2 linked regions of the Arabidopsis thaliana genome follow. The protein of the gene in region 1 interacts with the protein of each later gene in a pairwise test. Each region holds a gene or a part of one and is shown in the gene's direction. Other genes may lie near its edges. The genes, in order: KCO5 and AT1G22550.

What was found.
Region 2: the proteins of KCO5 (region 1) and AT1G22550 interact in a protein complementation assay, tested with the Arabidopsis thaliana proteins (one large-scale study listed by BioGRID).

What each region holds. Positions count from the first base shown.
Region 1 is NC_003075.7:791,280-795,780, forward strand, and holds KCO5 (Ca2+ activated outward rectifying K+ channel 5), read left to right. Parts: upstream 1-1,897; 5' UTR 1,898-2,123; coding exon 2,124-3,202; intron 3,203-3,506; coding exon 3,507-3,654; 3' UTR 3,655-3,958; downstream 3,959-4,501. UniProt on the Arabidopsis thaliana protein: Probable voltage-independent potassium-selective tonoplast ion channel.
Region 2 is NC_003070.9:7,965,708-7,970,623, reverse strand, and holds AT1G22550 (Major facilitator superfamily protein), read left to right. Parts: upstream 1-1,931; 5' UTR 1,932-2,071; coding exon 2,072-2,195; intron 2,196-2,284; coding exon 2,285-2,502; intron 2,503-2,585; coding exon 2,586-3,130; intron 3,131-3,208; coding exon 3,209-4,016; 3' UTR 4,017-4,124; downstream 4,125-4,916. Other genes in the region: AT1G22540 (Major facilitator superfamily protein), read right to left, coding at 4,402-4,916.

The sequences.
Region 1 (4,501 bases):
ATCTCTTCTTCTCAAGCATATGTCGATGAGATTTACCAAAGATACCCACGGCCAATCCGAAGTTAACATCAAATCAACCATCTTCTATCACGATGTTAGCTAATCTTTCGAAACCATAGAAAAAAAAAATTCATAATATGGCAAGCAAAACCACAAAAAAAACTCGAAAACATTTCTGAATGTGACGATGGACAAAGTCATGAAATTCATGAAAAAAACTCGAAAACATTTCAAAACGCGATCAAATCTAAATAGATCATGAAAATTGAAAACAGGGACAAAGTCACAAAGAGCATAAATATCACCAATCTCAAGAATGAGAATGAAGATGGATCGAGACCGCTATCATATTCATCAACAACGAACAAACCCAAGGAAAAGAAATCTCTCCAAACTTAGAAGACTACCATTGACAGTAACATTGTATTTTAAGCCTTAAATGGTTAAACATGCATAATCTTAATGGACCTTTAAGCAAGCCTAGTTAGTCAATAAAAGGCCTAATTATGTATAACGTATAGTCGATGAAATGAAATTTGTCACATATATTTTGCTTGCCCTTCAAAAAATTCGATTGGTAAATTGGTAATATGTAAATTACATAATGGTGGAAACACATAAAACATAAAATACTAACTCATTTACTTTTCTAATATTCTTTTATTTATACTTTTTAAAATCAAAACAAAACAAAAAAATCATATATTTTATTAACACTATACTGTTAAATTGACAAAATACTTGCAAAATTGCACTAAAAACTAGATTTTAACCCGCGATGTACCGCGGGACTATTTATTTTATTAAAAATAACTAAAAATATATTATTTTATAAATTATCTGTATGTAACATATTGTTTGTATTTTATAAATATATAATCATAATTTTTATATATTGTACAATCCCTTGATTTTATCATGGAGTACACCGTAAGTCGATTTTTAAAATTTAAAATTTAAAATTATATATGATTTTTGTTAAGATTGTTTCTTTTGTCATATATTTTAAATTATATCATTGTATTTTAATTGTTAGTTATAGGATTTCACCCGTTGTATAACGTGTCGTATTACTATAAACTCAAACCCGTCTTACCATCTAATACCGTTCAATGAAATTAAACATATTTAATGGATTTCATCCTAGGTATACTGTCTAATATTACTATCGACCCAAACCCGTTCTACCATCTAACCCCGTTCAATAAAATTAAATATTATTTTATTATTTTTGTTTTAATAATACTTTAATTTTAATTATATATAATTCAAATCAATTTCAAACTTTTTATTTTAAATGGTTATTTAATTGTTATAATTTATAAAGTTCATATATTTTAATATTCTAAAACCGTCATACAATCTAATCCCGTTCGGTGAAATTAATAATTATTTTTTAAATTTTTTGTTTAAATAATATTTTTATTAAAAGATTTATAATTCAAATAAATTTAAAAGGTGTCTTTCAAATAGTTATTTGATTTTTTATAGATTTTACATCTAAAATATTTCTCTATATGTAACATATAGTTTTGTATTTTATAAATATTATAAACGTTTTTCTCTTAAATATTATAAACGTTTTATAAACTTTAAATAATTATAATATTTACCTTTTTAATAAAGTATAATATTAATAATCATTTAAATAATTATGTATAGCTAATTTTAAGGGATTTGATTTAAAGTTTGTTGTTTAGATTAAATTTGAATGAATAATGTGATTGATATATTAAATAAAGAATTAAAAATCAAATTAAATAATTAAAGAAAAAAGAATTAATGCCAATGGTATACCATTGTAAATAAGTGTCAAGTAGAGGATTTATTTGCTAAAATGATTAGAAAAATGTATATATAGATACCATTACCAATCTAAACCTAAACACTTACTTGCGTGAAGCCATGAACTAACAATAATAATACACATGTGGTCTGACGATAAATCTGATTTTCATACGTGGCATACTATGTGTGCCCCATTCTATAAACAAATTGCTAATCCAAAACACCAATCACACTCCTCTCTCTGTTTTTTTCTTTTCTTTTGGCGTTTTCCGTTTGGTAAAAGATTTCATTTTTATTAGCTTTTCAAGATTCAGAGATTCCTAATTTGTTGGTAAATGGAACCACTCATCAGCCCACAACCACGTTTCCGCCTCCAACCCATACCGGAAAATCCCTCCTCCTCCTCCTCCTCCGCCTCCATCACAATCCCTCGCTCTATCTCAAACACTTCCTTCTTCCATGAAATCTCCCAAGAACGTCTTCTCCTTCATCATCAAGACCTCGAACAATCCGTACAAGACGACAAAGAAGACCAAGACTCAGACTCAGACGAAACAAATCGCTTTTTATCTCAGACAAGACCACTTCACCGATCTCGTACAGCTCCAGCTATGGTAATCATCAAAGACTTAAGAACCAAACCTCCAGAAACCAAAAAACCATCACCAGTCTCTAAATCCATAATCAGACAAGCGATTTTCTTGCTAATCGTCTACTTAACCTTAGGCGTTTCAATCTACTCATTCAATCGTGACCACTACTCAGGAATCGAAACCCATCCTGTAGTCGACGCTCTCTATTTCTGTATCGTCACTATGTGTACTATTGGTTACGGTGACATCGCTCCGTTGACTCCATGGACAAAGATCTTCGCTGTTGTTTTCGTCTTGTTCGGATTCGGGTTCTTGGATATTTTACTCAGTGGTGTTGTTAACTACGTTTTGGATCTTCAAGAGAGTATGATTCTCACCGGAATCCAAACGAGGCAGCATCATCAACACCATCATCATCATAGATTCTCTGCTAAAGATTATATTATTGATTTTGAGAAAGGGAGGATGAGGATAAGGATGAAAGTTTGTTTAGCGTTATGCGTCGTCGTTTTGTGTATCGGTGTTGGTGCTTTGGTTTTGCATTTCGTTGAGGAATTGGGTTTTGTTGATTCGGTTTATTTGTCGGTTATGTCGGTGACTACTGTTGGTTATGGTGATCGTGCTTTTAAAACGCTTCAAGGGAGGCTTTTTGCGGCGGTTTGGCTACTTGTTTCGACTCTTGCGGTGGCGCGTGCGTTTTTGTATTTGGCGGAAGCGAGAATTGATCGCCGGCATCGGAAAGCTGTTAAATTGGCGTTGAATAGAGAAATCACTGTTGATGATTTGCTCAAAGCTGATACTTATCAACATGGTTTCATCAGGTTAACATCTTTTAAAAACCTCAACTTTGTTTTTTTTTTTAGAATCTTGGATTAATTGCTTAGAGATGAGAGTGATTTGAGCTGATTCTGATAAAGGGTTTTATGCAATTTGTGTGAAGTTTAGGTCAAATAAGTTGCAGAGAGTGTTAAGCTTTAGATTAATCATGTTAATGTTAAGACTTTTTCTTGCAAGCAACAGTTTAGTTATGTCTTTGTGTAATCTAATTTCAATGATTTAAGTTTGAGTGATTAGTGTTTTGACTTTTTTTTTTATGTTTTGATTTGGTTTTGGTGTGTGTTTCAGTAAATCAGAGTATATAGTGTTGAAGCTTAAGGAAATGGGGAAGATCACTCAGAAAGACATTGACCAAGTTGTGATTCAGTTCGAGAAACTTGATCCTAATCAAATAGGAAAAATCACATTACCTGATCTTTTGGGGGATCCTTTGTGACAGAAGAACATTCTCTGTCTCTGCTTTTTTAGGTTTTCTTCTTATTCAATTATCTTCTCTTTTTTTAATTCCTTTTTAAAGAAAAATAACTGAATATATGTAGCAACAGTGATTCATACAAAGAATTATCTCTCAGTTTATAAGAGATAATATGAAAATGTATATGCTTTATTTTTGCTCTCTATAAAAAAATTATGTTCAAAGATATTCGCTAAGCGCTAATCAGATGCTCGGGCAAGGTTGTTAACAATTTTCTTTATTTTATTTTATTTTTTATTATTTTTTTAATATCAAGAGGTTTTGGGCCGAGACACGTAATCTCCAAAGTCCGTAACAATTTTCTTTATTTATCTTTCAAAATAATGAACATGTCGAGATATTTTCATGTATATCTTTTTTTATGAGATGACAATGAACAAAGAGACTGAGACATTCATTTGAGTTTGGTGAGATATATAATTAAGAAAATTAAAAATGATATGGACAAACTAATCTTTCACTTGTGAGATCAGTCAGTAGAAAGCTGACGCTTTTTGTCTCTTGATTCAGTAGAAAGGTCGATTGACTAAGTCATCAATCCTAGTCCATGCACAAATTTTTTTAGTCTAAAATGATTATTAAACCGGTAAGATTGATTATAGAATCAGATAATCAGTTTAACACAGATTGGTATTGGTTATTCTGCTTCTGCATATCAATTTATCATTAAAACAAAACAAGTTGAGAGTTGTTGAGTGATACTACTCGGATAATGACTACATATGAGAATTGAGAAGAAACTTTTTAGTGTTTTCTTTAAATGTTTTAGCTGAATACTTTAGCTTTGAAAGAAGAAGAAAAATGTAGG
Region 2 (4,916 bases), on another chromosome or scaffold:
CTCCAATTATGCTTAGTCTTTCCCAAACAATCTTTCTTTTTTTAAAGTCGGGGTCACCATACACACAAGACAGAAAAAAGTTCACCGCACCAAACTGCACTTGAAGATCAATCAAATTCTTATCAGCAAACTTGATATCGATCTTAACACTTTCCTTCCAAAAGATAGCTAAACCACCACACCTTCCAACAGGCTCTATAGAATACACTCTATCATAACCTAAAAATGTATGCAAATCAACAAGAACATCTCTACTATTCATAGTCTCCATCAGAAACAACATCTCAGGGAAATACTTTTTACGCAATTCCTTAAGACGAGGGAAAGCCAAGTCTTGAGACCGTCCCAAGCCTTGACAATTCCAGCTGATAATGCTCATTGCGCGGTGGGCAATCCCCCCTTTGGGATCACCTCTAAGGGATTGAGTTTTGTGGATTTTGCAGTGCTAGTTCCCTCATCAACTGCCTTTCGTTTCTCTTTAGCACCATGACTGAGACCTTTCTTCAACTCTTGTGATGCAGCAAGACCTGAAGCCGGTAAAGGATTAGCTTTCCTCTGATTCTTAGTTGGCCTTTTTCTTGCCTTTGCTTTCTTAGGCTTAATTCCGGATAAGCTAGGTTCAAAGAACCCAGCTTTAAAAACCGCCGAATTATCCTGAAAAGGCTGAGACAAAGCAAGAAAATTGGCATCCACATCAAAGGCATTAGGGCCAGCCTGATTTAAATTCCACGAATGTGAAGAACTTGAAGTCCCACCCTCTTCACGCAGATTGGGCTGAGCTAATACTTTTCCAACATTCCTCAAGTTAATCCCTTCATCAGCATAGCTAAAGAAAACTCCTTTGTCTTTAGACAAGTCCAGATGAACCACAGGGGCTGGTTCATGACTCAGCATTGACTTTCTCAGAACTGGATCCTTCTCTACTTCTCCAACAGACTTTTTCACCTTGTTAATCCTCAGCAGCTTCTCAGTTTCATCAGAGACCAAAAGATATTGTCTCATCCCTTCTAAAACATCTGCAGCGATTCTCGGTCTGCCCGTCAACTTGTCAATCCCAACTTGATCCTCTCTTAAAACCCCAAACAAAGGGTCTGATTCTTTCAAAACAGGGGGTTTCTTAGGTCTCTCCACTGGTTTACCAGAGCGTCTTGCCAAAGCAGCATCTTGTCTTGCTTTTATGAGGACAGGGCAAACATCTCTCTCATGAGTCAAACGTTGACACTCATAGCATCTCTTTTGAACCCGCTCATACTGAAAACGCACTTCTAGTTTATACTTAAACAATAATACGTCAAAATAAAATTTTCAATTTTTAGTTTCCCTTAAGTTTATTCATAAAAGTGTTTATACTTATTATACATGTAATGTGACGTTTTTAACTGAATAACAGTTAAAGGGTCTTACGACGGTTAGTTAAATTATAAACAATTTTAAGTTATACACTATTTAATTACTTTCTCGACTCATAGTACTTTCTTTATTATACAGGAATTGTGGTATATAATGCAACTAATTTTAACAAAAATAAAATAAAATCATGATAGCACAAAATAGTAATCTAAAATCATTATCTGAATTAACACGATTTAAAAAGGATTATTACACTAAGAATTAATAACAAACAATTACTAAAAAAAAAACTTTTAGCTTATTTAAAAGATGAAAATTAGCTTGTATGGATCGTGTCATTTAAATTTAGTAGCTAATAAACCCTAATAGTTGACTTTTGATTTCTGTAAGATAAAATAACGAAAACAGTGATATATAGACATGAAACCGCATGTTTATTGGTTGTTAGTTGTAACTTTAGATTATGTAATCATATTAGAGGATTAAAATATAGCTCGTGAATCACGTCCATTTAAAATTATGATAGCAGCTGTACAAATCATAAAAATAATACAGCTCCTCATAATCAATCACTCATCTGACTAGACTATATAAAAAGAATATATACATATCACAATCTATTTATCGTGTTCATTATTCACGCAGCAAATATAGCTTTAATATCAAAACTAAATATAAATAAATACATATAGCTTAAAATCCAGTTTCCTCCGACAAGAAAATGGCGATAGCCGAAGAAGAAGCTGCACTTATAGAAGATTCCGTCAGCGACTCCGTTGACCACCGTGGACTTCCTGCCGGAAAATCTTCCACCGGCGGATGGAGATCCGCCTGGTACATTATAGGTAAAGAACAGTTTTTGTGATTTGTAAATTGTCTCATAAACCATTATTTTTTAAACATTTTATTTTATTTTTTTGGTGTGGTTTTTTAGGTGTGGAAGTTGGAGAAAGATTTGCTTACTTTGGGATTGGTTCCAACTTAATTACTTACCTCACCGGACCTCTCGGACAATCAACAGCCACCGCCGCCGTGAACGTGAACACATGGTCAGGAACCGCCTCGATACTTCCTGTTTTAGGAGCTTTCATTGCAGATGCTTATCTTGGTCGTTACCGTACCATTGTTGTTGCTTCCCTCATCTACATACTTGTAATAACGTTCTTGTCTCTTACTTCAATATCTTGATAACATTTTAGAATTTTCACTAAAATTTGAGGGGATTTTTGTTACAGGGACTAGGACTATTGACCTTATCCTCTATCTTAATCCTAATGGGATTATCGGAGCAACGTCAACATAACCGCAACGCTTCTGCTAAACCGTTTTTTTGGGTGAATATATTATTCTTTTGTTCTCTGTATTTGGTGGCGATCGGACAAGGCGGACACAAGCCATGTGTTCAAGCTTTTGGTGCTGACCAGTTTGATGTGGGAGATCCAAAGGAGAGAATAAGTAGAGGATCGTTTTTCAATTGGTGGTTCTTGAGTTTATCCGCGGGAATAACTTTGTCGATTATTGTGGTGGTTTACGTTCAAGACAATGTTAATTGGGCTCTTGGGTTTGGTATCCCTTGTTTGTTCATGGTCATGGCTCTTGCTCTCTTCTTGTTTGGAAGAAAAACTTATAGATATCCAAGAGGAGATCGCGAGGGGAAGAATAACGCTTTTGCGAGGATCGGTAGAGTTTTCTTGGTGGCGTTCAAGAATCGGAAACTGAAGTTAACACATTCAGGTCAGTTGGAAGTTGGTTCGTACAAGAAATGTAAAGGACAACTTGAGTAAGTTCACAAGTCTTGAATCTTTTGAGTTTTGGTTTATTGTGACTTGAGTATAAAGTTTTCTTTATTTTTACTAAGGTTCCTAGCAAAAGCGTTGCTACCAGGAGAAGGAGGTGTAGAGCCATGTAGTAGTAGGGACGTGGAAGACGCGATGGCTTTGGTTAGGCTTATTCCGATATGGATCACATCAGTAGTGAGCACGATTCCTTACGCTCAATATGCTACTTTCTTCACAAAACAAGGCGTTACGGTGGACAGAAAAATCTTGCCGGGTTTCGAGATCCCTCCGGCTTCTTTTCAAGCACTCATCGGTTTATCGATTTTCATCTCAGTTCCAACTTATGAGCGTGTTTTCCTTCCGTTAGCTAGATTGATTACCAAAAAGCCTTCAGGGATCACAATGCTACAAAGAATAGGAGCTGGAATGGTGCTCTCCAGCTTAAATATGGTGGTTGCAGCGTTAGTAGAAATGAAACGGCTCGAGACGGCTAAAGAACATGGGCTTGTGGATAGACCGGACGCAACCATCCCAATGTCCATATGGTGGTTCGTTCCTCAGTATTTACTACTTGGGATGATCGATGTATTCTCACTAGTGGGGACACAAGAATTCTTCTACGACCAGGTCCCCACGGAGCTAAGGAGTATTGGTCTTGCACTTTCTTTGAGTGCGATGGGTCTTGCGAGCTTCTTGAGCGGTTTTCTAATCACTGTGATTAATTGGGCTACCGGGAAAAATGGCGGCGATAGCTGGTTCAATACTAACCTGAACAGAGCCCATGTCGATTATTTTTACTGGTTGCTTGCTGCTTTCACTGCCATTGGGTTCTTGGCGTTTTTGTTATTATCCAGGCTGTATGTGTATCGCCGTGTAGATCAAGTCTAAGAAAAAAAAAGTCAACGTGTATCTACTTTCATATCATATTTGGTTATTCATAACGTGGTTAGAAACTCTTTAACCTATTTTTTATTCAACAATTTTAGTTTATTAAGATGAAATCTCTGGAAGTTAGCTTGGAACACAGCTGGATAATATACACGATAAGGAAAAGACTATACACCAAACATGAAAAAATATACATTTACTGGTGTTGAGCCATGTAATGGTAGGGACGTGAAAGATGCGATGGATTTGGCAAAAGAGCCACATGATCAACACGATATACCAGACATGAAAAGTATACATTTGCACAGTAATGATTTGTGTATTCAAAAATTACACAAGAGAGGGAAAGAGAGTACCTGCGATATTTAAACGAGAGATTTTGGGTTTAACTGGTGTCGAGCCTTTTAGAGACGTAAGACTTTGCAACATACAAGTAGGAGGCTAAGCCAATGAAGCTGAGACAAGCGAGTAACCAGTAAAAGTAATCGAGATGAGCTTGGTTCAGGTTGTTTGCGAACCAACTCGCTTGACCAGATTGGCTTGTCGCTTTCTCAATGATTGATATCATGAAACTGCTGAGAAAGTTACCAATACCGAATATGCTCAAGTACAGAGCCAACCCCACACTCCTCAGCTCATTCGGGACTTGGTCATAGAAGAACTCTTGAAGACCCACCATTGCGAAAACATCCGTGATACCAAAGAGAACATACTGAGGAACTAACCACCACACACTCATTGGAACCGTAGCGTCAGGTGAATCTACGAGCCCGTAATCCGCAGCAGTTTTAAGCCTTTTCATCTCCACTAGAGCGGCTACAACCATAGCAAGGAAAGAGAGGAATATGCCTGTGCCGATTCTCTGAAGCATTGTGATTCCGCCTGGTTTATGTGTAAATG